Lepisosteus oculatus: one gene and its partners. The protein of the gene in region 1 purifies or fractionates together with the protein of each later gene. This does not show direct contact. Links are inferred from orthologs where the notes say so. Each region holds a gene or a part of one and is shown in the gene's direction. Other genes may lie near its edges. The genes, in order: pomk, lrp6, ghitm and tmem59.

What was found.
Region 2: the proteins of pomk (region 1) and lrp6 purify together in Homo sapiens (affinity purification with mass spectrometry; 3 studies listed by BioGRID and IntAct, counting the BioPlex papers as one, with this or other methods). This does not show direct contact. The link is inferred for Lepisosteus oculatus from reciprocal best matches to the Homo sapiens genes POMK and LRP6.
Region 3: the proteins of pomk (region 1) and ghitm purify together in Homo sapiens (affinity purification with mass spectrometry; 3 studies listed by BioGRID and IntAct, counting the BioPlex papers as one, with this or other methods). This does not show direct contact. The link is inferred for Lepisosteus oculatus from reciprocal best matches to the Homo sapiens genes POMK and GHITM.
Region 4: the proteins of pomk (region 1) and tmem59 purify together in Homo sapiens (affinity purification with mass spectrometry; 3 studies listed by BioGRID and IntAct, with this or other methods). This does not show direct contact. The link is inferred for Lepisosteus oculatus from reciprocal best matches to the Homo sapiens genes POMK and TMEM59.

The regions. Positions count from the first base shown.
Region 1 is NC_090696.1:60,174,951-60,182,695, reverse strand, and holds the start of pomk (protein O-mannose kinase), read left to right. Parts: upstream 1-4,723; 5' UTR 4,724-4,842; intron 4,843-6,499; 5' UTR 6,500-6,530; coding exon 6,531-6,794; intron 6,795-7,745. Other genes in the region: glutathione S-transferase P-like, read right to left, coding at 3,313-3,337. UniProt on the Homo sapiens protein: Protein O-mannose kinase that specifically mediates phosphorylation at the 6-position of an O-mannose of the trisaccharide (N-acetylgalactosamine (GalNAc)-beta-1,3-N-acetylglucosamine (GlcNAc)-beta-1,4-mannose) to generate phosphorylated O-mannosyl trisaccharide (N-acetylgalactosamine-beta-1,3-N-acetylglucosamine-beta-1,4-(phosphate-6-)mannose).
Region 2 is NC_090702.1:26,705,974-26,713,044, forward strand, and holds the start of lrp6 (low-density lipoprotein receptor-related protein 6), read left to right. Parts: upstream 1-4,062; 5' UTR 4,063-4,334; coding exon 4,335-4,389; intron 4,390-7,071. UniProt on the Homo sapiens protein: Component of the Wnt-Fzd-LRP5-LRP6 complex that triggers beta-catenin signaling through inducing aggregation of receptor-ligand complexes into ribosome-sized signalosomes.
Region 3 is NC_090699.1:20,138,336-20,145,184, forward strand, and holds the start of ghitm (growth hormone-inducible transmembrane protein), read left to right. Parts: upstream 1-3,833; 5' UTR 3,834-3,933; exon of another isoform or gene 3,934-4,045; intron 4,046-4,798; 5' UTR 4,799-4,812; coding exon 4,813-4,944; intron 4,945-5,680; coding exon 5,681-5,783; intron 5,784-6,849. UniProt on the Homo sapiens protein: Plays an important role in maintenance of mitochondrial morphology and in mediating either calcium or potassium/proton antiport. Mediates proton-dependent calcium efflux from mitochondrion.
Region 4 is NC_090704.1:4,518,984-4,526,831, forward strand, and holds the start of tmem59 (transmembrane protein 59), read left to right. Parts: upstream 1-4,835; 5' UTR 4,836-4,921; coding exon 4,922-5,077; intron 5,078-5,344; coding exon 5,345-5,450; intron 5,451-5,818; coding exon 5,819-5,913; intron 5,914-6,388; coding exon 6,389-6,541; intron 6,542-7,626; coding exon 7,627-7,708; intron 7,709-7,848. Other genes in the region: tceanc2 (transcription elongation factor A N-terminal and central domain-containing protein 2), read right to left, coding at 655-843, 2,259-2,452, 3,353-3,494, 4,123-4,221.

The DNA.
Region 1 (7,745 bases):
CATTTCTACTGCCATGGAGCAGTATTCATGTCATCTAAAGCACCATTTAGTTTAGTGTCCGACTGGTGACTAGAGATTGGACAATGTAGAATGTGCAAGTCATTGGGGTGGGACCTGTAGAACAGGTTTTTTAAAAACCCATTCGTGAAGTGATTGCTTTGCACTCTGTCAAAAGGTTTCAGTTGCAAGTAATGAAACTGGTTGCTGGTTTATTTACACATTTGCCTTTGTGTTTCACCATCTGTGAAGAGTATTGTAACGCATACGGGCATCAGGGTGTGTAAGAGCCGGCTTACCAGAGCAGTGACGTTGTCGCCCTTCCCTGTGATAGCAAGACTACAGCCCCTGGGCTGAGATCTCTCTTTGGCTTACTGGGCTGTGTCCCTGCTGAGTGATGTGGGAGTCCTGGGTTCGAGCCACTGTTGGTGTGGGGCTGACCTAATCTGGTAAGGGTGCCAGCCTCAACCCCTGTTGCATTACATTGGTGTCAGGAGCGGGGTGGGATAGCCCTTTGCCGGGGATGGCGAGTTAAGCGGGAGAGAGTGTAATGCATACGGCTATCAGGGTGTGTAAGAGCCGGCTTACCAGAGCGGTGACGTCACCGCCCTTCCCTGTGATAGCAGGACTACAGCTACCGGGCTGTAGGGAGATCTCTCTTTGGCTCACCGGGCTGGGTCCCTGCTGAGTGACGCAGGAGTCCTGGGTTCAAGCCCCTGATGGTGTGGGGTGTGGGCGCCTGCCTGAACCCCTATTGTGTTACAGTATACAGCATAATTTCACAGTGACTGTCCTGTCTAAGGAAGAAGAATAGGGACAGGAATTCAACAGCAAAAAAATAGTATGACTAGAGCTGGGGGGATCACTTTTGGCTCGCCCATGTGAAGTGGATTTTTGAATGCTCCTATGCCAGATGGTGTAATGTAATCCATGGCAAATTACTTCTGCACAACCTGCTTTAGGAGATCAATGCAATGGTTTTACAAGGCATCTGCCACCTTATAACAATAGTCAACAATACTTCAACAACAGATGGAGGGTTATCTAACCATCTTGTGGACCAGTCTAGACACACCGTTGTTCTGTACGGAGTGCGCAGATGAACCTGGGACTTGATCGGCTTCTCTGAGGCGAGTCCCAAAGCCCAACCTTCACAGCCCTGACAAGCAGCATGCAAGCTCACAACATCAGAAAGTCCTTTGATATAGAGGAACTGGACCACTGGGAGTCTTGGAGATTTACATTAAGAGCTATGCTGCAGATAGGCAGAGAGGGGCAGCAGACTTGTTTGGCACATGTCTGCCCTTTATTCACTACATCACAGAACTCCCACAAAATGACTCCCCACTGTTAAGACTCATTTTTGCTGTAACATGGTATACAAAACATTAGTACAACAATGTTGTGAGTACAAACTAAACATAGTGTGCTCACATAACAGTGACTGCAGCAACAATGTGGCATACTGTATGTGAATTGTCCCCTTCTATACTATAACAGCACAATTCAGACATGAGTGGTTACACCCAGGATTCAATCCATCATCTTTCAGGTAGGCCCAAGGGACAAAGGGCAGGGGTCTTGATGAGAAGAACTGGACAGCTGTTGGGAATCCTGTGGAGTCATGTCATAGTAACAGTCTCATCTTCCACCACAAGACCTAACACATTCTGACCCTTCAAATAATCCAGATCTCACCCTCTTGTTTAATAATCTGCATTGAAATCCTTCTATATGTGTGTGCAATTGAGTGCATTCTCACTCCCAGGCTTCACTGCAAGATGAACATCCAAGACAACTACTGTAGATTACCTGTTCAAGGTCCTTATTATTGTACAAGTAGTGAGTTTCTGGCTTGTCAGCACCCATAATAATAATAATAATAATAATTGCTTACACTTATATAGCGCTTTTCTGGACACTCCACTCAAAGCGCTTTACAGGTAATGGGGTCTCCCCTCCACCACCACCAATGTGCAGCATCCACCTGGATGATGCGACGGCAGCCATAGTGCGCCAGAACGCTCACCACACATCAGCTATTAGTGGGGAGGAGAGCAGAGAGTAATGAAGCCAATTCATAGATGGGGATTATTAGGAGGCCATGATTGGTTAAGGCCAATGGGAAATTTGGCCAGGACGCCGGGGTTACACCCCTACTCTTTTCGAGAAACGCCCTGGGATTTTTAATGACCACAGAGAGTCAGGACCTCGGTTTTACGTCTCATCCGAAGGACGGCACCTGTTTACAGTATAGTGTCCCTGTCACTACACTGGGGCATTAGGACCCACGTGGACCACAGGGTGAGCGCCCCCTGCTGGCCCCACTAACACCTCTTCCAGCAGCACCCATGTCACCCTGCAACTTACAATTGGCAGCCCACTGAAGCTAAGCAGGTGTGAGCCTTGTCAGTACCTGGATGGGAGATCTCCTGGGAAAAACTAAGGTTGCTGCTGGCAGAGGTGTTAGTGAGGCCAGCAGGGGGCGCTCACCCTGTGGTCCATGTGGGTCCTAATGCCCCAGTACAGTGACGGGGACACTATACTGAAAACAAGTGCCATCTTTTGGACGAGACGTAAAACTGAGGTCCTGACTCTCTGTGGTCATTAAAAATCCCAGGGTGTTTCTCAAAAAGAGTAGGGGTGTAACCCCGGCGTCCTAGCCAAATTTCCTATGCCTCCTAATAATCCCCCTCTATGAATTGGCTACATTACTTTGTTCTCCTCTCTCCCCGACAGCAAGCGGAGCAACCCGCCGGTTGGAGTATTCTCGGTCGCATTTAATGGGAACGTCAGCTCAAAGATTTGGTTCAAACCACCAAATGGAGACGGGCGTGCCGACAAGAGGACCCTGCTGATGAGAGAGTGAGTTTCTGGCTTGTGCTTTTCCATTCTGAAACTATCCAAACCACATGATAGGTGGATGGATTTTCTTTTTGCGAGGACTGCAAAAGGAGTAAGGGTACACACACAGACACCAAGGAAGATTTTGATACAGATTGCACAGATCACAGCTAGGCTTATGGAAGTAGTGCAGTGATATGTACATCCTTTTAGGGGGGAGTCTGACTTACAGACATTCATTATAATAATCATAATAGCAAACCGTCCTGACATTGTGCAGCATGACAAGAAAGAGAAAACATGCCTACTGAACAATATAGGCATTCCAGACGACTCGAACATCATGATGAAAGAAATGGAGAAACGGAGTAAATACAAGCACTTGCAAATTGAGATCAGCAGGATGTGGAATGTGGAGACGAGAGTTGTGCCAGTCATTAGGGACACTCAAAAAAGGGATTTGATAATAACCTTTTGTTGCTTCCAGGCCATCCATCAGCAGGCAAAGTGCAGAAGATCACACGAATGGGCACTGCACACATCCTTCGTAAGGTGCTTCAAGTAAAGTAGATCCAGTAGATCTGGATTTACAAGATACTGCTGAAAAATATCCAGTGAGAGGAAGAAGAAGTTATAATAATTAAAATTGTACATGTAATGGGGACTCCCCACCACCACCAACAATGTGCAGCACCCACCTGGACGATGCGACATCAGCCAAAGTGTGCCCATCTGCTCGCTGCACAGCAGCTATCAGTGGAGAGGAGAACGGAGTGATGAAGCCAGTTCATAGATGGAGATTATTAAGATGCTGTGATTGGTAAAGGCCGGGGATGGGAGGATTTGGCCAAGACACATGGTTAATACCCCTCCTGTTTTCAAGAAATGTTCTGGGATTTTTAAAGCCTGACCCTACCTGTTTTTATCCGGCATTCACCAACTATTGAACGCTGAATCATTTACCCAGAACTAAGTTAACCAATGTAAACTAGATAACTCCTTTGTTCAATATGTCTCACACCCAGCACAACTAAGTAAACACTTCAGCTCCTTTCTCACTTTGAAGATTCCTAGAACCGCAAGTGTTCATTAGCCAGGTGTTAAACATTGCCCCTAGACACCTCCATTGCCACTTCCAATAACTATAAAAATATTATGTAATAGGTATGTTAGAAAATAGAAACCATAGTCCCCAGAACATCTACATTTATAGCAATTAATATTAATTTGTTCCTCCTTACCACACTGAATACAGCTTAAATACAGCCAGAAATTTTAAAAAAATGTAAATTAATCTACTGCATACATCTACAGTAAATATGCTACAGTAAAGTGATATAATACCTGATTGGAACTGATTCACCTAAAAAAATACATGATTTGAACTGGAGTAATTAAAATAGTGATTATGAAAGGGAAAGGTCTGTTAAACTACTGTAAATGTATTAGTAGCTACAGTTACAGTAAAACTATACAAACAGTTACTCTACTTTGGTAAACGATATTACCCACAAGGGAATGAAAGTCATCTATATTGGGCATTCAGGAAATATAATTTACACTGTATAATTAATATTAACTGTTTTTTTTTTCCACAGTAAAAAGGAGTAACAATATTTGTGGTAAAATGGCTCACTGGTAAAACTATGATAAAACTACTCAACACAAGTATGTCATTATCTCAAAAATGTGTATATACGGATGATTATTTAAAAATAAAATTTAGAATGAAATCCTTGAATGAATGAATTTATTAACAGCGATAGGATTTAAGAAGTTGAGTGGTTTAGTCTTGAAATGTCCAGTAGATGGCGATGAAACGAATCTGGGGAGGCTGTATTTTCCGCTTTCCTTTTTTTTTTTCCGGCTAATGCATCCGGTTGAGAGGGTAGTAGGTGTTGTAAGGTTGTGAGTAAGGTGATATTTTAAAGTGTAGCAGCGTTGTTTGATAAGGATTAGACAAAGAGCATTATAAGACAAGGATCGTTGAGTTACATGAAAGTAAGTAAATGTACATGTTTTTAATTTTCAAAACAAATTAATTACATTTTTTTTGTTTCTTTGACCACAGTGTAAATAAAGCTGTCATATTTTCGGTGCTAAATCAGAACCACTCGCATCGCACGTCTTCTGTGTCTTATGCTCTGTAATGTTTTTGTGGGGGAACAGAATTCAGGGAAACGGGTACGCCCTTCATGTGAACACAATTTTGAATGATTTCTTTTTATTTCAGTTGCAGGCACTGTAAATCACCCAGTGTCAGCCTTAAATGTCTAGTAATATGCTACGCATCTTCAATATGCTTTCACAGGTGTGGAAATTAAAACATTTGGCTTTTCATTTTAATCTCGATTGACAATGTGTTAGTTTAATAGTATCGTAAAACGTTCTGAACTGTAAAAGGTACGTTTTTTCATAATAATATGCGTAATCACCCAAAAGCGGTAGATCCCTGTATTTAAAGAACGAAAGAGAGAATCGGATTAATATGTTATCTCCAGTTGCTGACACTTGTTCTAACAATTAAATCAACTAACGTTTGCACGATTTATATCGTGAATATCAGGCAAACACAGCAGGCCAAAGGAATTGGGATCATTTCATGTCAGTCAAGATTATTATTCCAGAGTTCTCACATTTAATCTTCTTTTTTAAAAGAAAACCACTGATATTCAGAGTTTACTGAGTATTTTGACTGAGGTATCATTCTTTCACTCTTAAAAAATGGCCCTGAAGGTACAATGGAGAATAAGATATTGTAACAATGTTAAAACGTATTAATGCTATATCATTGAACACAGGCTTTTAAATTAATTTACTTCTTGTAAAGTGACTTTAACCAGATCTTCCTAAAATGATTTTTACTTTAGCCACTCATGTATTGAGGTATTCAAAATCAAATATTCAGGAGGGAAAGCATTACTTTTGTTCTTTGAGACACCATATCTTTTTGACACAGAATTAGTTGATTGGAATGACTGTGAATTAAAAGAAGAAATGCATTCAGGAAGGGTCACTGGGTGCCAAAATCAATTTCATAGTGTTTTAAGCATGTCAGTAGAGCACTGCAAGAATTTTACAGGAGTAGCTCTGTGTTTTGGTCAGTTTTATAATAATCTCACAATAATAATATCCTTACACTTGTGCTTTTCTGGACACTTCAAGCGCTATACGGGTGATTTGGGCTCCACCACCGATGTGCAGCACCCACCTGGATAATGTGACAGCAGCCATAGTGCTCCAGTACTCTCACCACACATCAGCTATCAGTGGATAGGAGAACAGAGTGATGAAGCCAGTTCATAGATGGGGATCATTAGGAGGCCATGATTGGTAAAGACCAGAGGGATATTTGGCTAGAACACTGGGGTAACATCACTACTCTGGGATTTTAAATGACCACAGAGACCACATAGAGGACCTCGGTTTTACGTCTCATGCAAAGGATGGCGCCATTTTTACAGTATAGTGTCCTCGTCACTATACTGGGGCATTAGGACCTGCAAGACCACAGGGCAAGCTTCCCTTAGTTTTGTCAGGTGTGTTGATCTGAGATGGATAGGATGGCCTAGTTAATGTGATCCAACAGACAAGCAGGACTTCCAGCTGCTGCCGTCGAAATGCATAGTGTAGCTGACGTGGTGGAATGTCTCTGCAGGTTTCGGCCTCCAGCACAGGAAGATGAAACCATGGTCAAGGGTGGCGGCTCTCATGGGGGGGTGCCAGCGGTGCTCATCTGTCTTGGCGCTCTGCTGTGTGCCAACGTCCTCATCTACCTCTACCTGGACTCACTATACCAGGGCAGCAACCTGCATGAGCACCTGTACGGGGACTGCCCTCCTGGCCACTTCAGGATAGGGGCCATGAGGAACTGCTCGCCATGGCTTCAGTGCGAGGCTGTGCTCAAGGAAGTGCGGAAGCTCAAGATGATCAGCCAAGGGGCGGTCAAGCAGGTGACACTTCCCTTTCTTTTCCCAAGGAACGAGCCACTGTTCTCTGCTTCCTGTTCTCTTAATGAGTAGGGCCCGAGGCCCTCCCACAAGCTGGGGTTCACTCACTGTGCCCTCTTGTGTGCTTCTCCTTTTTAGCTCAGTTTTGTTTTTTGACAACGTGCACAAAACCGATGCATAGAGTAGTTTGAGTCTTTAATATTGATTAACCTGGGTGTCTGTAGAAAGAGACTCGATGATGTGCTCTTCAGTTTTAACACAGGATTAAAATGTAAAAGAAATTAGTTCATAATAAGGGGTTGGGGCAGGAAAGCTATGAAATACAATGTTCTTAATTTTAGCATCTTAATGGTTCGAGTCAAAACTAGGAAAAAAAACTAGCTTGATAAATAGCTTTACTAAATAGCTTAGCTAGTAAGAGTAATTAGAACTTTTTCTTCTTTGTGGTTTGAGTGAAGCAGGGATGAGTGTCTTTGTTCAAATACTGAGAATTGCAGGTTTTACATCAGCCTGAGTGAATATACATCTATAGTAGTTTGTAAGTTAAGGAAAAACAAAACAAAATGACTGAAGCAGTTATATTTGTGATAATTTAATTCAGTATATCTTACACACGTTCTGACTACCGTAATTAGAGACCCAAGTAAAATTGTGTAATTACAAGAGTTTGAAACTAAGGACCTCCATTCAGCCTTTTCTGGAATGATTTATTAACTTTTATTGCCTTTTTGAGGTCTTTTCTCAAGGAAGATTTTCTTTCGAGTTAAAAATGAAATGTCAAAGTTCAGTCGTGTACAGAGTACTGCCGTGCTTCAGTTACGTAGGACAGTGGTTACATGTTTGCTAAGCAATAATTCTGTCCTTGAGCCCCTTGATTTTGTAAAGGCCCCATGATCACCGTGTGACAGCACAGGCAAAGGCAGACATCACCTGTTCGAAGCCGTTGATGTATCA
Region 2 (7,071 bases), on another chromosome or scaffold:
GGTAGTAAATGATTGGCTGATGGCTTCTGATTCGTTTAATATTCTCCTTATTAATTTAAGGGCAGATAATCATAGCATCCTGATACAATCATGATATCCTGCTGTACGTCTGGGAAAATGTTCTATGGATCACTGGGTCTCCTCATGTTGGATCCTGTTTGAAAACCAGGAAACAATCCATAAAGACTTCTGTGCTGGGTCTTTTATAGGGTTTACATGTTGCCTCTTGTCAGATTATATAATGGATTCAGATGGCACTGCTGATTAAGATCAGATTTACTTGCACAACAAATCAAATACTACTGCTATAGTTCTAAAGTGTCTGCCGGGTATTAAAATATGTTTCCCAGAAACTGAGACAAGGCTGAGGTTAATAAACTCATAAACTCCCAACATCTCAAAGCTGATCAATTCAGTGATGTTGATAGGACTAAAATAAGACCCTTGATGAGGGTTAAAAACCTCAATGTTACTTTTGATCCTGCATTGTTATTTGAAGTGCATGTAAGGAACATTATAAGCATGTCTTTTTCTGCATGTCAAACATTGCTTTGATAAGACCCTTGGTCTGCCTTGTTCTGATGCTGAAAATTTGATACATGCCTTTATTTAATCCAGTTTAGACTGCTTTAATGCCTTACCTGCTGGACTTGGTATGTGCTAAGGTACTAAACAGGCTTAAGTACTGTATGTCCAGAATCATGCAGCTCATGTGTTAATTAAAAGTACCTTGCATTAGCACATAACTTCCGTCCTCTTAAAATCGCTCTGGCTCCCATTTTCAAAAATGGTATGGCCAAGCTTCAAGTTATATTAGGGACCTATTGCGTGAGTATAGTCCAGGGAGTTCTTACTCTGCTAAAGACATGGCAACTGAGCCTTCTTGCTTGCTGTTTAACTGACTGCCCAGATCCATTAGAGACTTTGCAACTGCTGTCATTTATAAAGCTCCCATAAAAACCTTCTTCAGAAATTCACTTAAAGACCTCCTTCTTCCCGCTGAAGCCTTCGATATGTGATCAGTTGAAAATGTAATAGTTGTATTTTTATTATCAATATTTTATTGAGCTGCATGGTGATGCAATTTGCCAGCATTTCTGCCTCACAGCGGTGGGGCTCTGGGTTCAATTCCAGACCTGGGGTGCTATCTGTGTGGAGTTTGTAGGTTCTCGCTGTGTTCATGTTTGTTTGGTCCAGCTGCTCCAGTTTCCTCCAACAGTCCAGAGACATACTGGTTGGTTAACTGGTTTCTGGGAAAATTGGCCCAGGTGTGAGTGTGTGTTTGTGTCTGTGTCTGCCCTGTGATGGGCTGGCATCCCATTCAGGGTGTATCCTGCCTTGTGCCAATTCCTTGAATTGGATAAAGTGATTAGAAAATGGATGGATGGGTTTATTGCATCACAGTGCAGACTGCAGCCTTTCTAATGGGTTCTAGAGAACTGTTGTATTATGACAAACGTAAATGCAAAGTACATAGAGGAAAAGACAATACAATGAGGTTTAAGATGAGTGTTGGATGAATATTTTCATTCAATGACCTTCCAAGTCCTTGCATTTTTGTTTCTTTTCTGGTGGTTTATAATATGTAACACTGAAACAAATTACCCAACGAAAGAGACTCTTTGAAAGATCCTGCATTTAAAGGGTTCCTTCCTAAGCTTCTTCCGGTGTTATTGCATCTGTTCATATGTTTTTGTGTTAAGGCACATTGTGGTTTATTTTGATTGAATGAAAAAATGACAAAAGGTATAAATAGTGCTAAAATGTGGAAATAAAAATGTCATTTTTCCAGCTGACACTATGTAGTTTTTCTCACACAGGAAAATCTCACTAAATCATTTGAGGACAGGCTACAGAAAAAGACAGCCAGGCTTATTGTATACTTGTAATAACTTTATCGGATGCCTTCTTTCCCTGGGTAATTCATACAAGTGAAAACCTTTCCACACAAGCTGTCCTTAAGTGCTAGTATTAAAATGAATGAAATGCTCCAGAAACCATCGGAGTCAGCAATACTATTCCGTTTCAATCATTTCTATATAACGTATCCCTTTGATTTTGGATTTACAACACAAATCCGACACAGTTCTCAGAAGGTATTTGGGAAAATCTGTACATCTTTAATCACAACTACTGCCCAAAGCTTCTTTACTGGCACTACGTTCAAGCACATTATGTACAGTATATCACACTTACTTAGGCATAATGTCTTTGACCTTCTGCTTTTAACAGTTGAAAAGTTCCAAAATCTGTCCTTAGTTGAATGTTGTCAATTTCATATCCTGTCTGTTACGCAGATCCAGAAACTATAGGTATAACACTGTACACTGCAGTATTTTGCAGCCTATTTTGCTTTAATGACGTACAGTACAGTGCAGCAATGCAGGTGGAGACTTACTTTCTGTACATTTACTGTGCAACTGGCTTGACCAGCATGTTTGCGCACAGAATCATCTAAAATGGAAGGACCTTCAAATGTTAACACATACTGTATGTATAGTTTATCATTTCAAACTGAACTGAAAGAAAACCTACCGTGCTGATGAAATAAGCTTGTGAATTCTCTCTTTTTAGAATATTAAGAATAAACAAAATGGTGAAAGAGAACAACTATAAAGTATTTTTCTTAAGACAGGATTTTTGTGTTATGTAGCAGAATATGATTTAAAAATATTTATGATTTTTTGTTATTTGTGAACAAAGTCTCAGTTATCCTAATTATTACTGTGAGCTTGATTTTTGCTCTTTTGCAACCATGCCGTTCTGTCGAGTTATTCAGGTGAAGATTCTATCTGAGATCCACAATCAAAGCACTCATCTAAACCTGAGACAGATTACTATTGAACTGACTCATTCACAGACTCTACGTACTCATATTACAGATACTTGTATTGAAAACAGGATCTGCTGAGATTTTAATGCTTTACTTTAACTTCTGGGAAACAGTCATCTTCACTGGTTTTAACATAGTGTAGTTTGTCGGGAGTGGAACAGCAGAAGACAAAGGCTGAGTATATCCAAAAAGTAGACAAGTAGACAAGAAACACTCTCTATGGTGCCATATATTGTACACGTAAGGTAAAAGATTATTGATTTTACGTCCCCAATCTCCTACAGACTGTAAGTGAAACTCCTTATCTAAATATTCTGTCTCACAGACTGGTTTAACACAGCCTTTGTGTGTTAAAAAATTAGTTAAACATAACCATCCTTCCAGTCTGATAGAAAGTACATACCGTATATCATCTTACAAAAATATCAACAAGTAGGTGAAACTTTTGTGTACTTGTTATTCTAGCTACTTTTTTCCTAGCTGGCTTCACGCGGAGACTAAGCGATTTATCATTGGAGAACAGGAGGTACTTATTTACTTGAACGTTTGTGGAAGTCTGGAACAAGCCACCCAGTTATGCTGTTGAAACAGATACCCCGGTTTCCCTCCAGAAACGTCAGAGTAAGCACCTTGAATCAATTAGCGACGACTAGCACCCAAAGGAGCGACATGGGGTGAATGGCCTGTTCGTTTGTAACCAGCAACATTCAAAACTCTGTGATGTATAACAGATGATGGATTAATTTTCAGACATAACCTTTGGGGGGGAAAAAATAAAAATCAGTTTCAGAAACTCTTTATTTTTAGAAACGACAACGCAAATCACTACAACAAAACCTCTTGCCGACTGTCTGCAAACCCACTCCGTTCCCCAACACAGAAAAATAAGATCCAGCAGCACAAGCAGGGTCACAGGGGTATGTTGTTCTAAACCGAAGCACCAATCACGGCGTGAGAAACTAGTCCCTCTGGAATGTGTTTCTGCGCTCCTGAACAATTGTTGTAGAAGCCCGCATTTTCTCTTTTCCACAAAAAATACAGAGCCGCTGCTACAGTCTCTCTGGTTATTTCTGCTTTGAGAAACTCCGCTGCCTGTGCGGAGTACCTGGCAGTGCCTACAACAATAGCCGCGAGTCGAGTGTGTTTTAAAGAAAAAAACGGAGGGAAAGAAGGGAAAAAGGTGGTGGTGTGCGTGCGTGTGTGTGTGTGCGTGCATGCGGGGGGGGGGGAGGGTTAGCATTTTTCTCCCGTGGCGGAAGGAGACGAATTGAAATCCAACGTGTTGTTGCGCCCGGGCAGCAGAATGAGGGGTTTGGAATCGCAGCGCTGCAGAGCCTGAAGCAGGAGCGGAATGGAGCGGAGAATAATGATATAGCAGCATCGCAGCCAGCTCGGTCTCAGCAGCGCTCTCCGCACCCGACCATTCCGAGGCAGCGGCGAGACACGGGCATGAGAGCTCCGCGCTGAGCGGCCGCCGCGGGGGCAAGCGAGAGGGAGAAAGATGGGCGCCGTGCTACGGAGTCTCCTGTTGTGTAGTTTCTGTTCTGTGATACGAGGTGAGTTTGTGGCGCGGGTGGGTTTTGCTCTCTGGAAAGTTGGGAAAAGCCTTTTGAGAAGTGGCCATTTTTTTGCACAAGGCCTTGCGTGCAAATGAGTGGGGCCCTGCGTATAGGGTACCTTGCTCGTAGTAGTATCCGATCTATGAGTATATGGGAGTGTGTGGTGAATGGGATGTGGATATCCCAGATATGTGCTGCTATATCTCTGTCCTTTCCACGCTCTCTATTTGAATTCGATGTAATGCCGTGAATGTTGATTGTTCTGTGTTGTATTTTGAAAAGGTACCCCTTTTATTTTTTTCCCTCAAAGAAGATACAAGAGCGTTTTGCTCCACTGCAATGTTTTTTTTTTTGGCAAACGTTTTCCTGCCTTGTCTTAAACGGTCTCTGTCGCCTTCATTCACACGCGTTTGTTTTAGCAGTAAATCTGTTTCGGAGTTGAAAATGGATTCTGAAATGTAAAGAAATCAGAACAAGCAGACAATATGCACACTTCTGGCCGAGGGAAGATGCTCGCATAGCTTTGTTTTAACTTATTTCAGCACAAAGTTTGAATGACTAACCGAACTTGGCTGGACTAGATCGGCGGAGATTTGTGCTACACAAAACAAGCTTCCGTGGCTTGTATGGTACAGCTTGTATGCAGGTTTAAAACACTCATTTGTTGAATTTGTTGTGTTGCAAACATCCACTCAACTCGAAAATCATTTGTGGTCAAAGTTTGGAAAATGGGGTGTAGGAGATGGACCCCCTCAATTAACCTACACTGGATTTTAATTGTTTCATTGCACGCTGTGCGTGATTTCCAAGGGGGTTGAACTTGGTCAGATAAATGTCAATAAATGTGACATACGGTGTAGATTTAGTCACGTCTTTCAGTACGTGCAGACAGATAAGAAAACATACATCTTGTACAGCTTTGTTTTCACAAAACGTTTGCGTAATTGCGGATAGTTGATGTGGAAAGTTTTAGTTAAAATGTATACAGTAAAGGTAATCACAGGACGGGACTATTTCAGCTTTTTATTTCAAACTGATTTAAAGTTACTGACAATTTCCTATTACTAACACGTTTAAACTGACCACTCTTACAAATAAGCCTTATCAAACACCTTCGTGTTTTGCAGACATTTGCTTTAGTGTACATCAGAAGTGTATTTTTTTTTTATTTAATCTATAGGTGTCACTTATAGCTGCTTCCTCTCACAGTCCATGGTTCCAGATTTTAAGTCTGGACTGGGGCAGTGTGTGTGTGTGTGTGTGTGTGTGTGTGTGGAGTTTGCATGTTCTCCCTGTGTTGGTGCGAGCCTTCACCAGGTGCTGTGGTTTCCTCCCACCCTCCAGAGACCCGCTGGCAGCATTGTCTTTAAGCTGCTGCTGTGTGCATGTGCCCCAAGATGTACTGGCATCCTATCCTCAATGTAGTTCTGTTTCACGCCCTATACGTCCAGGATAGGGATGACTTTCACCCGCAGTGGGAGCCTGCAGGAAAAAAAAAAAAACATCTCCTGGAGTGTTAATTTGGTGTCTGTCGGGGTTGATCTTTTTAAGGCTTTTATTTGTGCCTAGTTCACATCGTTGGCTTAACAATCCATTATGCTGCCAAAGGCATGTAGTTATGAGATTGCCCACTTTGTGGCCATTGGGTCTCATTTAAAACAATTGAAATTCTGATCATAAACTTCTAACAAATTAGAGAGAGCTCTGCCCGTCGCTGCAGTGTGGGCACTGCAGAAGGAGGCCTCAGAAATCGGTCTGGGAAGTATTTGTTGGTGTAAATTGAAGTAGCAGATGGTCGGTCTGCGGTGGAGGCAACCATGTTGCCTCCATCTTTAATTTTAAGAGTTGTTTTCTTTCTAGTTATTTCTTGTGGCGTCTAGCCTTGCCATCATTGAAGTTATTAGCAGATATTACCGTTTTGCCATAAATGAAGCTGTGACACTGTTGGCATTCTGTGGCGCATTTTCTTTCTCCATTATTTGCAAGGAATGACAAGTGGACTGTTCCTTACCTTGCTCTTTGTGTAACAGCCTCTGCATGTTACCAGCATTCCTTTCGCTTCGAGAAGAGAAAAAATCCAGTGTTTTTTTTTTTTCCCCCAGCAGATAACATCAATGTAGTGTCATAAGTGGAGCTTTGCAAACAACAAACTCACACATTACATTCCTCTGAATCTTCCAGCGCAGTCTGGGGGCCAGTGGTTGTAATTTCTGCTAGGACTTTTCATGCTTTAGTGTAGCCTTTTGTAACATCTTATCAGTGTGACTTCTCTCTCTATGCGTGTCGATACTTTTGTCACATTTATTAAGTGGAAGCTGGAACCAGTGTAAGGGGAATCTTCCATCTGGTGGCCATATTGCCGTATGTTATTTACAAGGAAGAGAAGCCTGTAAACTGAAGCTTTCATGTAGGAACTGTGGATTTGTGGATTTCAAGATCAGTCAACACCATCTTAATTCCAGACAAGGCCCCAGCGGGTACAATGAGCAACATTGATGAAACATTCTAATTAATAACCCCCTGTGTGATTGTGCTGAAGTTATCAAAGTGTTATTAAATAAATTCAAGGTGTTCCTAACGGGAGTTTTCCTTCTCTGGAAATATTCGTCCAGCTTTTTGCAAATACTGTGGCCCTAGTTAAGCTTTACAAGGTGGGTAGTTGAGCAGAGAGAGCCTGGT
Region 3 (6,849 bases), on another chromosome or scaffold:
AAATTACAGCAAAAGCCCCCCCCCGTTAACTAAACATTTGGTTATTAATAGCTATGTTAAGTACTGTAGCTCATCCCGTTTTAACTTAAAGGTATCTACTTCAAAAACGTGGTTTCACAGCCCACTCTGTACAGTGTCTTCCTTTCTCTTGAACTGAAGAGCGCATTTTTCCTTATCCTGATAAAACCCTTCAAGTTGGATGCGTAAGATTCGCATTTTTTTTCCCTGTTCAATTGCTACATTATCACTTGCATAGGCCACCTTCCCGCATTAACATCTATTCAGCAGCACCGGCAATTCTGATTACAGGACGCGAACCCCCACGGGCACATTGTGTCTAGTAACACCTCTGAGGAAAGACGAGCCAAGAAGGAAAGGATTGAGGATGAAGATGTCCACCCTTAAGGAGAGCGGTGTGAAATGCATTATAGTCAATAGCAACAATCAAAAGGTGTATCTTTGCTCCCCAATGTCTTTATCTTACAGCCAAAAAATAAATTAAGTAGAATCTTAAGTGTAAAAAAACATTGCCCTCTCCGCCTTTGTCCAAGAAGTGGTGCTTATAATTATTCATTCTCCTCTTCAGAGTTGTTTGAAAGTCCGAAACCCAAGCTGATACTAGCCAAATTCAAACATGTTTAGCGTCTGGCAAAGCTTAAAAGCGTATCATTTTGAACCCACGAGTCCCCACTGTTCTTTAGTACATCCACCCCCACGGACAGCAATCAGCGGCACCGCCTTGGTGGTTGCGGCAGGGGTATATATGGAGCTGGTACTGGGAAGCCAAACAGGGTGAAACCGGTCTGAGCAGTTGCCCAATGTTATAAAGCTACAAAACCACAAAAGAATCACTCTTTGGCTTTCGAAATTTCTTTAACCTTGTCTCAACCGTTATACTTTTGTTATTATTACCCAAGATAAGACGGGCCAAAATTAAGATATTTTTTGTATCCATTATTTTGCTAGCAAGCAGGAATAAAAAATGCTACTATATTCATGCCTAATTTCTTACACCGCAGGAACTAAGAGCTCTTTTGTAACAACGCCAACTATGTGTTTAAACAAGAATAAACCTAAAAGTAGCCCACGCCGGTTGGTATTTAAGAATTAGTCACCGAATACCAATGGAGTGAAACTTCATACGGTTCTGACTTGTAATTCAGACAAGGGAGAAGGGTTATACAGTACTGCAACTGTTTTTTTTAATAAGTTATTAATTCATTCACTTTTTTAATATAATTGTTTTATAAAAATAATTCTGCAAAGACCGCTGAAAAACCGCTCACCGAAGTTGGAAGTGTAATATCAATCCGAAAAAAAAAACTAAATCCGAATACCAATGAAACTCAACAAACTGCATATAATGTACATGAAGCACACAGTGCTATAGCAAAATATGGTGATGTGCAATATGTGCTACCTTGCAAGCTGTGAGAACCCTAGCACAGCAGTGCACTGTTAATACGACCTGATGCTTAACCGCACAGAAACTCAATATCAGCGGCTTTTAAAAAGGCAAGCTTTCGTGTTCGCGGATTAGTTTTTTTTTTTAAATAACCAACCCATCACACTGCATCACACACTCGCGGTTTGGAACATCTCAGAGCCTATAACGCAGACAGTTTCGTCACCGACTGTACACCGGGTTCATCCATTTTTAATCTCTGGTCTCTCTTTCGGCTCAGCATCTCCCGACACCCAATCGGGCTGTGATCTGGGTCTCAGGCACGTGTGGTCAGCTTGAAGTCTTCTTTACATTATTAAAAAGAAGGTTTTCTATTTTTCTACACCATAAAGTTTTAGCAATTAAAAAGTTTAGTTATTAACGGAGCTATAAGCCTCACTCCTGCCCACTTTAAAGTACATACCTTGTCGTCTTTCCTGCCTTGTATTAGGTACTGAAAACTTGTCAAAGTCATAGACTTCCTCTCATACGTTGCCATATCAATTTATTCTGCGACAAATATAGAAGTGGTAATAGTATCATTTACAGTAACATTAAGACAAGCATAAATGCTTTCAATCCTACTAACGTGTAGTCACATACCGTAACAACATGCTGTTGCACAAACCTTTGCCTAACGCTGATGCTAAATGAAGGACACGGTAAAAGTTTCAAATACTTACACGACCACACTCTGTAGAGTAATTTAAGATATTGGTGCAGAAGACTACGTGCGCCGTTGCATCCCTCATTTTCCTGTATTTCCGAAAAAAGCTGAACCTCTGTGTGTGCGGACACCAATTTCCGTTATTCTATCAGAAGAATTGTTTCCACGTCCATTAGAAGGAGCGCTGCATTTTCACTGCAGCGATTACAGAGCAAACTCCACAGTGGGAAAGAGTAACCAAGAAATCAAACCCTCACCAAAGTTTTTTTTTTCCCAAATCCTGATTTAGATGTTGGCTGATGCGCCACAGATATGTTTAAAGGCGTTGTAAGGAACACATAGGGCAAATCAGTTTAAAATAGTCTCTTTACTCCCCAGTCTATCAAGATTGAAGTCATACACTGAAGACCACGTTTGAGCGAACTCTCGTCCTCCAACAAATGCTCAGCTGAACTCCGAAACCGGGCTCTCCTCAGACACCGAGCCACGTGACCGCACCGTCCCTCCCGGTAATTTGAATTTCTAAACAAGGATCCCACTGTTGAATGAATGAACTGTTATAGGTCGGGTCTTGTGCTGGCCTTTCATGGCCCACAAGACGGTTTAAACCCACCTTTGCCTTTTTTTAAACAAAATCCCACTTTTAAAGAAATGCAAACACCTAAGAGGTTTTAAGCCTCCTGCCTGCAGAGATGTGAACGTGGCCAGGTTTGAGTTCCACAGAGTTTGTATCTGGACAAAGAGCAAAGAGCCAATGACAGTGGGGAATTTACGTTGGGAGTAAAATACCTACACTAGAACTAAAGTTATCGTACGTACTGTATTCAGTTCCTTATGACATTTACCTGCAGGATTGCAATTTACAATTGAAATTCACTATGAAATGGAATAACCGATGTATTCTTTGCAATATATACAAAGAAGATGGTTCGCGTTCTCCTTCTGGAAACTATTGTTTTTTTTTATTTCGATTTTACGGAACACAAACGTTTTTCCAAACCGATATTGTCTTTCGTTACTGATGTTCCGCGTCTGGAGTAAGAATATTTATGTTTTAATAACCTGTATCGGCCTAGAACATCGTCTTTTGACGGTCTGAATTATTTAAAGTAAAATTTACATTTTCACATCTGCAGGGTAGGAACATAGTTTCATTCAAGAAAATGAACTATCATCTGATACTGTTTTTGTTTCAGTGGATGGTCGCATCAACAATATAAAATGTACAAGTTGTTAAAGTAGCGTCTGTAGTATTTTGCTTATAGTAATGACACTGTTATGAGGATGCTCTCGTTCTATGCTTTTAATGTAAAAATAAGACAAGAATGGGCGTCTATTGAGATACGAATTGCTGCATCTTCACCCAGGAATGAAAGTATGAATCTTCCAGTATGAAATCCCCCCCTTGCATTCGACTTTATTGTACAATTGGTTTACGAGCTACATATTAAGCTATTTACATCAAACCAGTTCATTTTCATTTTTTCACGGTTTGGCTTAATGTACAATGCAGGAAATAACACTGCCATCTTGTGTTTGTTGTCAACAATGCGATTTGGTTTCATTGAAAAAGTGCAATAAACACAATAAACTGGCACGGATAATTTATACAATTCACGTCTTTTACTTATTTGTATTTTGTTATATAATCAACCAGAACAGGCTTTAGGATCCTAGTATAATAAAAAGAACCTTAAAGCCTAAACACGCCAACTCCCAGAATCCAAAGCGAGACCGACGCTGTTTGATGACGCAATCAGTAAGAACTTTCAGGAAGGTTGCTGCTGATTACATCAGTGTGGTATTTTGGTGCGCATTAAAGGTGAGAAGAGCCGTAATATTGAAGAGACGAAAACAGCGTTATACTTTGTGGAGGTGAACATTACTTTCAGCTTTGTTAGCAAAAGGTATTGTGATTCTGACTGCAAAGCAAGGTAGACTAATGATTCAAACATTTTTATATTTTCTTGGAACATCAATCGAGACGTAACCTTAGTTTTAGTTATGTAACCCAGTAATCTAGAAGTTTAAGGTGTCTTTTTACTTTTTGCTAGGTAAGAATAATAGTTGTAATTCAAGCTATTTTAAACTATAAGTCTGGTATTCAGAAATCCTCGGGAGTGTCATTGGTTTACTTAGTGTTTAGGCTGAGACGGAAAAATAATGTTCAGTAGCATTATGGATTATGAAATAATTTTGATAGATAATTATCACATAATCCTTAAGATGCAATAAACTGTTTTTACTTATATGTTGATATAGTGCAAGGCAAATATAAGAATCTGGCCTAAGTGGTAGAGGTGCGCGGCTCTTTAGTTACGAGGTACAGTACCATGGTACGTTTTAGACCGTACCGGTACGTTCGGTAATTTCTGGTAGTTTCCGTCGGCTTCTGTATTTTCTTTCGATTTTAACAAAGAATTTCTACTGTTTACATTTAAAAAAATCAAATTTGGTTCAAAGAGCAAAATGACTAGGATAAAAATGTCGTTACCTTTAAAACAAAGGGTGAGCAAAAAAAAAAAGGATTCACCTTGGATGGGATTGTCCATCGCTGTGAGAATCTTTATATTCATCATGAAGTCCTGCGGCACAAAGCTCTTTATGCAGTGTCCGGTTGTGTCACGATACGTGATGTGTGTGTGTGAGATCCAGGTTCACTGGATTTTGCGTTACCACTTTTCCAGGGAAGAATAAAACAATGCTGGTGGCGAGGCTGGCATGTCTGCGCGTTTTACCGGCAGCAGGGCTTCGCTCAGCTCTTACCCACACGACTAATACGCTGAGGACTCCAAGCCTGAAGCCAAGTCAATCCTTCCTCCAGCCCTGCAAGGTGAGACCATAACCCACCCAGCTGTACTTCGCAGTTTTTCCTTCCAGCAGTAATGATCTTTGTTGACAGGAGATCTTGAATGGTTCATTTGGCTGCTGCATTTCTCCAAAGAGATGTACATCTTTATCCATTCGTACCACTGGGTATTTTAGTGAAGCAGTCGAACTGAAGCATCTTGTTCGAGGGGAGAGCCCCAGTGCCCCCCCACCATGAATTTTAATCCCCATCCTCCTGGATGTCCTGTCCAGTAGTCCAGAGCTTAGCTAGTGCTCCACAAGGCTGCGCAATGTATTTGGTTGTAAAGGAACAAGTAATATGTAAATAAGGTTTATTCCATGCTGAAAAGAGAAGAAAGAAAACACAATGTTTCGGCCGTGGAGACATTCTTTTTGTCAACGGTTGTGGTTATAATTTTTGTCAACGATATTGGTATAATTTGCAGTTAACCTCTGAGATCTTACATGGTGTATACCCCAGTTTGGGATGTTACATGTTGTTAGAAGTACTGCATAGAATAAACCATTTTATTATCATCTGATACTTTGACAGTCTGTTTCTGCATCCCTGATGAATCCCAGTGATTCAGTCTTGTGGATAAGATTTCCTTGACATTTATGTCTGTTAGTGCTGTATTATTTATTTTCCTTTTGGGGGGCTTGGCTATAAGGTGAACATACTGATGTGCACAAATAAAAGGTGTGAAGTTTACTTAATTTTGCCTATTTCTCCTTACCAGGAATATGCCACCAAAGCTCGATTTGGGTTCCGGCGCAGCAAGTCTGCAAAAGAGCAACTCAAAGAGGCAGCCTTTGAGCCTGCAACAGAAACTGCAGTTAAAAGTACTGTATTTACAGTTTTGTTTTCCTAAGTTATACTTACTCATGAGTGTTTTGAATTTCTTTGAAAGCTTTTTACACATATAAGACACACTGTTGTTTAACGTTTCTATGTGGTAAATAAGATTGGGTTCATTTTATGAACAGTACATACTTGGTTTGGTCTCTTACATTGATTGATTCATGAACTAAATGTGATGTCTTCTGACTACTTTGTCAGGTTCAAGGTTGATAAAAATATACTGTTGAAACAGCAGTGCTATCTGCAGTTAACAATGAGGCTTAAATGAGGTTGAACATTTTAAAAACATTTAAAATACATAATAAAACAATATATTTTAATTAAAAATTAAATGGAAGTATTACTCTTAGTTCCATGTTACAGATTTACTTCCTTCCTGTTAGTATACTAGTTGAATCCAGCTGGTACATTTTGAGAGTTGTGTAATCCCAGTGATTCAGTTTTAGCTCTGTTTTCTATACATTACTGCACAGTAATTATATGTATGCTAAATAAGGAAATGATGCAGACTGTACGTTTGCAGCTTTTAATTTCAAAACACACCATTATTTCAGAAAATATCCAATTTGTATTACTTTTCAGACAGACTATCTTGTAGCCTGATCTCGTCAGATCTGGTAAGCTAAGCAAGACTGGTTCTGGTCAGTATGCTGACTGGGGACTTTGTGCTGTAGGTTTTGTCCTGCAGATGAGTAATTAAAACCAAGGTCCTGACTATTTGTCATTAGACATGGTCATGATTTGTTAGTGTAAGGAGGTTAGCCCACCCAGTGTCCTGGCAAAAGTTCTGCTTTGGTGGTCACCTTTTTTTTCTTAGCAAGCTTTGTTAAATATTTAAATTAGTGTTTTGAGTTGTAGGTAATTTGTGATTTTTCAAAATAAACGATTGATCTGCCTGTTTCACATACTATCTATTTAGACCACAAGGGGGAGCAATTGATACATTTAAGAGGAAGTTTAAATGATTGGTCAGGTGTCATTTTAATTTTGCTTTGGAAAAGGGACGTTATATACAACAAAATTACAAAAATGATACAAAATTCTTTA
Region 4 (7,848 bases), on another chromosome or scaffold:
TAGGATCAATTAGCTACTAACAAATAGGCAAAATATCCTCCTCTCATGTTCTTCAATGACTCTATTCACTGGGGCATGGGTTTCGGGCAGTCTTTCCTCCAACTTCCAGCTGACCATTCCTAATTATACAAGACTATGCATGTCCGGCAGACGTTAAAAATTGTTACATTGCATGAAGTAAAACGGAAACTAAGACGTACACGTGATCTGTGTTTCCATTTGTCAAACCTGAAGTCTTTGTCGCTCATTTGCGTGGGAAATAGCGCCACCTAGTGGCTAATCCCACAGCGGCACTTCAATCTCATTCGGGAGGTCAACATTGCTACGACGCCCACCTCTTGCATTGCAAGATTGAAAGCTTTAAACTTATAATTGCAGACACTTTAAAAGCGTATCTAATCCTTTTGCCGACATTTATGGTTTTCAGCACTCAATGTCATAAAACATGCAGCACGTGGAAAACACATGGGGGAGATTGTTTAATATTCATTTATTGATGCCATTTATTATAAAAGAAAAGATTAAAAAGCTGCCACATCACTATTTCATACAGTACTGGGGTAAAATAGATCCAGATGCCTGGTGATCGATCTACAGTCCTCCTTTACCAGAAGGGACTTCCCAGAAGCCTCCTTGGCCCCGGCGCTGGCGAGGTTATTTCTTGTGAGCCTTGACAAACTGGTCGACCGGCAGCACGCCGCCCCTGACCTGCTCGCGCAGCTCCGGCTTGTGCTTCAGGGCGAACACCAGCGCCCTCACGGTGCGCCGGTACGCCCCGCCCGCCAGCCGCGAGCTCTGGTGGAACACCTCCCGCTCCGCGTTGTCCACCAGGCCGTGGTCCGCCTGGGAGAGAGGAAGACCGGAAAGGACGAGGGAGAGGAAGGCTGAGCTCTGCACATCTGGGGCGTTTCCTCGTGCAGAAACGGGCAGGAAAACCGTCTGGCTTTGGATCGCACGGGTGTGAGGACGAGTCATTAAAAACGACCAACACCCTGTGGTTTGTACTGTATATCAGTCATCCACTTGGCTTTGGAGTGGCTTCCAATTAATACGCAATGAAATGACCTTAGACAGTTTTGCTCGGACTAATAAAGGATGGATAATGACAGATGAAGGCTTTAGTGCCTTTTCTACATCAGAAACGTCCTAAACTTGCACCGACCGTTAATTTCTATATTACAAACCGCAGATGGCAACAGGAACGAAATCAAGAGGTACTTCATTATACGAATATTCGTCAGGTTTTGGAGCAAAATGCTCATCCATTCTATTGCAGCACCCTGGAATCTTTCAGAAATGGCCAGACGTGATCATTAGATTGACGTTCTAATTAATGTTCACTGCTACCTCGCGGCTTTGGGGCCCCGGGTTCAATTCCACAACCACTGACGCTATCTGCGTGGAGTTTGCACGTTCTCCCCGTGTTCACGTGGGTTTCCCCCAGGTGCTCCGGTTTACGCCCACAGTCCAAAGGCATGCTGGTAGGTTAACTGGCTTCTGGGAAAACCGGCCCTAGCATGAGTGCACTAGCATCCTGTCCAGGGTGTATCCTGCCTTGCACCCATTGCTTGCTGGGATAGGCTCAGGCTCCCCTGTAATCTTTAATTGGCAGATGCAGTTAGAAAATGGGCAGCTGGACAAATCTGCAAATGGGCAAGACAGTTGGAATGAGGATGAGGAAGTGCAGGAGCTCTCTCGCACAGCCACCTTGGAGCCACCTGTTTTTTCAAAACCTCAAGAGGTTCGGGACTAACTGCAGCAGAGGCCCGCATCCATCCCAGACAGCGCCACCTGCCTGCAGGTGCCGGGGCAGCCACAGGGGGGCGCTATGTCACTGAGAGCCAGGAGAGCCTTGGCTTTCTAATCCCACCCTACCCTTGCTCGCATCTGGACCATTGCTTGGGGATCCCCAGCCACAGCTCGTGACCTGACCCGGGTTCGGACCCGAAACCCAGCTTGTGCTCACCGCCTTCCCTGGTGGCCTAGGGGGTTAGGATTCGGCCACTCTTCCCACCACCACGGCCCGGGTTCGATTCCCGGTCAGAGAAGAGAGTGTGTCTGAGTCTTCCTTTCTTTGATAGAACAAAGTAGAGGTGGCGGGCCCAGGTTGCGCTCAGGTAAGAGCCCCTACTGGTCGAGACCACCACCACGATTGTAAGCTCTGCGGAACGGATGCCAGCAACGACACAAAGCTGACCCACTGCTCTGGCCCTGAACTTGCTGCTCTGCGGGGGTTCAGACGGGCGGAAGGGGGTTACCTCCAGGCCCATGGATTCGGCCAGCAGTTTCCGCGCGGTGCTCCTCAGCCCCTCCGACTGGGCGTCGCAGCGCACCTCTATGGAGGGCTTGTTGGCATTCTCCTCGATGAAGGTCTTCCACTGCGCGTACACGGCGCGGGCCAGCGCGGACACCTCGGGGTCCGGGTGCCTCCGCGTTCTGTTCACGGTGTGGCCTGGGGAGCCCAGGTTTCAAGATCAACACTCGAGGGCGACCATCCCAGCCCACTGCGCGCAACGCGTTCAAATGTGAACGGAACTCACTTTTTTTCCCCAAAAAACTTAACGAGAAACCCATTGTGCAAGCAATTCGACTCAGGTTCTGTTATTCAGAGGCGACAAAGGAGGTGCCGTTATGCTGCTGTGGTGACAACTGAGAGGACGCTTTTCCTCTTGCAGCTTTGAAACAAGAGAACGCAAGACGTTAATTTATGTGCCTTTCGGTTCAGGTTGTTCAGACAGGAGGTGCAATAAACTTAAGCTAGCCACAGCAAGAACCTGTACAAATTCAACAATACCAGAGTAGAATACAGCAGTGGAGGGAGAATTTAGTCCCAGGAAACCTGTGTTGCTTTGCGTTTGGATTATCTTGGACACCATACTCACATTGACATTGCAATGACTGAAACAGGAAGGTGTGTCAGCTTGAGTTGGTTGCTAAGGAGCTGGGGAAGTTTATTCGATCCACCTTTCAGACTGGAATTAACCTTTACTTGTTCCTGTACACTGCAGTGATTCCCTTGGGTGGACAAGTGCAATACTGACCAAGAGGCTGCTGGGTAACAGCAGAGAAAGCGTCAACAACGCATGAATGAGTACCCGAGAGCACAAGTGGAAACTATAGGCTAGTGTGGAAAATGGAGAACAGGAGGCACTTCTTTACACAAAGGGTGGTGGGAGTGTGGAACGAGCTACTCAGCCATGTTGGCAAAACCAGTGCCCTGGCTTCTTTTAAGAAACAGCTGAGTGAAATCTTCAGATCAATTAGCTACTACCTATCCAAATGGCCCCTCGGTTATAAACTTTGTCATAATTTTATGAGTGGGAACTGAGGAATGAGCCACTGAACTTCTCACCAATTTTGGTTGACTGCAGCACTTCTTTTGAGGGGATCTTCTTGTTGAGCTCTGTCAAGGCCAGTAACAGGTTCTCCTTTGTCTGCTGGGGCAGTTCCAGCATCGCCTTAAACCTCTCGATGTCTTCGATCACCACGACTCTCTGCGGCCACATCAAATGGCATGTTCTCAGTTAGACTGGGCCCTCCTAGCTCTCACGCACTGCGGCAACAGCATTAGGATACAGGTTCTGAAACAGGTTTTCTTCCTGCTGTGCTTTAGCAGTACCTGAGTGCCAAACATATCTGATACATATTATACTGCCTTTTTGTTAAGGTTAGCGAATTTAAATTAGTCAATAAATCATATGGATCTAGAGTTTGTGATTAAATTAGATGATCTGTAATCTTTATCATTTATGTGATTACCACACGCAACAATATATACAAATATGGATATTGGAGTAGGTTCAGCTGCATGGTACAAATAAATGACTGAAAAGAAGCTCTTGTGTCGTGAAAGCAAGGCTTAAATGAGTAAAAAAGTTTTTTTTTCATCTGTTTCCAAAGAACATCTGTCCTGTCTTGAAATGTCTTGAATATAGAATATAGACAAATAAGTTGGCCATTGGAGTCTTAAGAAATAATCATTTCAACCTTGGGTACAGCATAAAGCTTATTTTTTAATACAGACAGATGAGTTACACTGAACCACCCAGCCTTTTAGATAAGAGTCAAGTTGCACCGGTGTCAAAAGAAAACAGAAAGTAACCAAGAGCTTCATTTACTTACCCTTAGCGACTCTATCGTTGCCTGCCTGTATACTTTTCCTTGGGTTTTCGTTTGTTTTCTGGTTTCGCCACTTGGAAGCTTTATCACAAACTTGTCCATTTCACTAATCCCTTTCTCTTCTTAACAAAACAGATTTCTAATTCTCAAAAAGTGTTGGACTGATGGCATTAAGCTAGTAGCTGTAGCGGACTGGATATATCATTTGTTAAAACATTCAACAGTCCCTGAAACTTAAATAGGTAGCCCGGATTACAAATAACTGTTTAATTTTCTTTTCATGAAGAATAATTTAAAAATATACTTATTAATAGGCACATTGCCCTATCCAGAAATAAAAAGCGAATGCACAGTTTTGCAAGGCGATGATGCTAGTACAATGTCGGCATTATAAAAATGAAAAGAATAAAAAGCCTCTTCAAAAACGAACAAAAGATGTACGTTACTCTGCGTGTATCTGTAAATAAACTCGGCACTTACTATACTACATCGATTTAGACGAAGCCACACTCTAGATCTCGTAAATTTTCATTATTTTCACTTACGACCCAGTAAATTAGATCACCGCCATTTTGGATCTTGTATGAAATCCTGTGTCACTATCTCACTCATAGAGTATTTGAGCCAAAATGGCCACCGGTGATGGATTCACGTTCGCAGTGTCACAGACGTGTGTGTGTTTTTCTCTCTCGTTTCTCCCCCCCCCCAACTCTCGCGATAGTTACCGCGGAGTAGAAGAACGAGGAAGAAGACGCTGTTCTGCCGCTGCGACTGGTGTTTGTTTTTCATAACAAAAATAAAGATGGAGGTGTGGAGGTTATGCGGGTGTGTTTTGAGTTTCTGCTGTTTGCTGCTGTGCACAGCAGCCTCTTCCGACATATTTGATGGAGTCCTGGGGAACACGGCTTCCTGCCATAATTCCTGCCAGATGACCTACAGTCTGCACACTTACCCTCGGGTGAGAGCTCCGGGCTCGTTTGTAAACACAGGTCTGAGGAGAGTTAGCGACACTAGGTCTGTCGGTAGCGTTGGTGCAGTAGTTGCTGGGTTTTTTTCCTCCATAAGATACATATGTATTGATCTTGTTTGCCCGATTACCTTGACAATATGCGCGCTGATCACGTTACCTGCAGTGTCACTTTACCGTCGTGATCCGGGAGTGGAGAGGATTATGTCTAAAGTGCGCTTTATTTTCTGTGTATGCGAACTGCCTTGTGGCTTGTAGGAGGAAGAGCTGTACGCCTGCCAGAGGGGCTGCCGGCTGTTTTCAATTTGCCAGTTCGTGAGCGACGGAGAGGATCTGAACCAAACCAAGTCGGAGTGCGACTCGGGTGAGCCTGTCCTTGCAGAATTCATCTGTGGGGCGCTTCACTTTCCTTTGCGGAGTCACAACTCACAATTCCTTTCATACACGTCGGGGGGGAAAGTTCCCCTCAGGAGTTCAGCAAGCAGTGCTGCCGTGATTTGAGTCACGCAGATTTTCATTTTCATGCAATGCAAGTCCCCGCAATGAAAGTGTTCCCGTCGCCAGTGGAATCACTAACGGGATCAAAGAAAATCATACAATGTTTCTGAAGAGGGAGGTGACGCTGTTTGATTGCCTTTATGTCATGCTTTGTGCAGACTGCACTTTGCATGCGTCTAGTGCTGTACATTCTCCGTCTGTCTGTAACATTTTGCATATCCTGTTCTCTCCCAGCCTGCCGTGAGGCCTACAGCCAGTCTGATGAGCAGTATGCCTGCAGCCTGGGCTGTCAGAGTCAGCTGCCCTTTGCTGAGCAGAGACAGGAGCAGGTAAGGTCACGTAGTGGCGTGTTGTTGCTGGGCTGGACCTGAGACCCTTAGACAGGAATTTCATTATCTGCAGGCTTGAAAAGCAATGAAGTTCACTAGGAGACTGGAGAACCTTTGTCCTGTTCTTGGGGGGGGCAGCTGTCTTCCCCTCCCACTTGAGTTTGTTTTAGGTAACCAAATGTAAACCACCCACTTCTAAATGTCCAGAAGGTGGCAGTTTATAGCAAACCAGACTTGGGTCATGTTTGTATAGGGCGTAACACGCCGGGCAGGTAACGGCGGCCCGTGTTGATTCAGCGGTGTGACTTTCAGAACACGCGATCCTGCTGCAGGTGATCACCTCGCTTAGCAGTGCTCCCTGGAGAGAGAGAGGGCTTGTGGACGTTTCCGTGCGATCGAATAGGACAAGCAGGTGTCATGGCGCGCCTTCCTGTTTCCTGGCGCTGCTTAACCCCTTGCCCTCTTCCTCCTCCAGCTGATGGCGATGGTGCCCAAGATTCACCTCCTGTACCCCCTGGCCCTGGTGAGGGGGTTCTGGAATGAGATGATGAGTTCTGCCCACAACTTCATCACTTCAACCTGGACCTTCTACCTCCAGGCTGACAATGGGAAGGTGGTCATATTTCAGGTACATCACCGTGTGACTTGCAGTCCAGACCACATATGGATTTTGCTTTGCAGGCTTCGAAAGAAACTTAGCGACCGTTTAATGATGTTATTAGGAAAATTAATCTTTCCTTGTTATGAGGTACATTGATGTTTTGTGGCGCAGGCATCCCAGAGATCAATGCGTCGCGCTCTTCAGCTTTTGTCATTAACAATAAGGGGGGTTCTGCTGTGAAAGTCTCATGATAGTAGAGTACTGCAACACCTTCTTGCTTTGCACCAGGTTGCAGATCCTGTCTCATACCTTCTCTGTCCTTGTCGGGACAAACACGTGCCTGTTCATCTTCTGAGCCCTTAGTGCCGCAAGTAGACCCAGCCCGTTCCTCGGACATTCAGCGTAGCTCAGGTCTGGCGACTTGGACATCTCCTGTAGAACTGTCACAATCTCGTCTCGCATGAAAGCCCTTCTTAAAGGAGCAGCGTGAGGACGTGTGTTGTCCTGCTGAAATATTGTCATGTCAGGATGAGGTCCCAGGACATAGTCAGTGTAACACCATGCAGCTGGTTATCCTCAGTTACAGTGTCCTACAGTTAGACAACCGCAGTGACTGGACACACCTGTCCAGACTGCCTCACTTGACCCTCCACATCTTTTGGACATGGCATTTAGCGTATCGACCAGCGTGCCTGTTCCACAGTTGCTGATATCCCCCAGAACAGTTGAGACAGAACAAGATTTTTTTATTTTATTTTCAGCAGGATAGACGTTCAGTAGGTTAAATGTCAACGCCAAAACTTTATTTTGTGACTATGCGAAAATGATCAATTGATCAAAATGTTTAGTAAGTGTCCAAGATCCTTATACTTTATTGTTCTAAAAACAACATATAGTAGCGATACATTTCTTTTAATTCTCAACATATGGAGAACTTTGTAAAGTTATGAAAATGTAGTAGGAGAAGAACATAATTAACACAGGGCTTTATGAGAAGGAAAAGAGATTTTTACTCAAATGAAAGATTGCTGATGGCACCAAAGCTTGAAGAAGGTTTTGGGTTTCAGGATTTTTTATGAACTGAGCATGTTTCACTTTTCCTCTTGTTTCAGTCTGAGCCTCAGATCCAGTTTATTCCTGAGTTTGAACCACAGAATGATGACCTGAGGGAACCCACTCTGGCAAAGAGCTCTTGTGAGTCTTTAATGTCTTTTTTTTTTCCCTGAGAGGTTTTCCTTTTCATACTTTGTGCAGTTCTGGTACCATATTCTTTATGGGAACTCCCAAGTGGCTGACGTGATAGCTGAGCTGATCCAAATGCTGGAGGTGCTCTA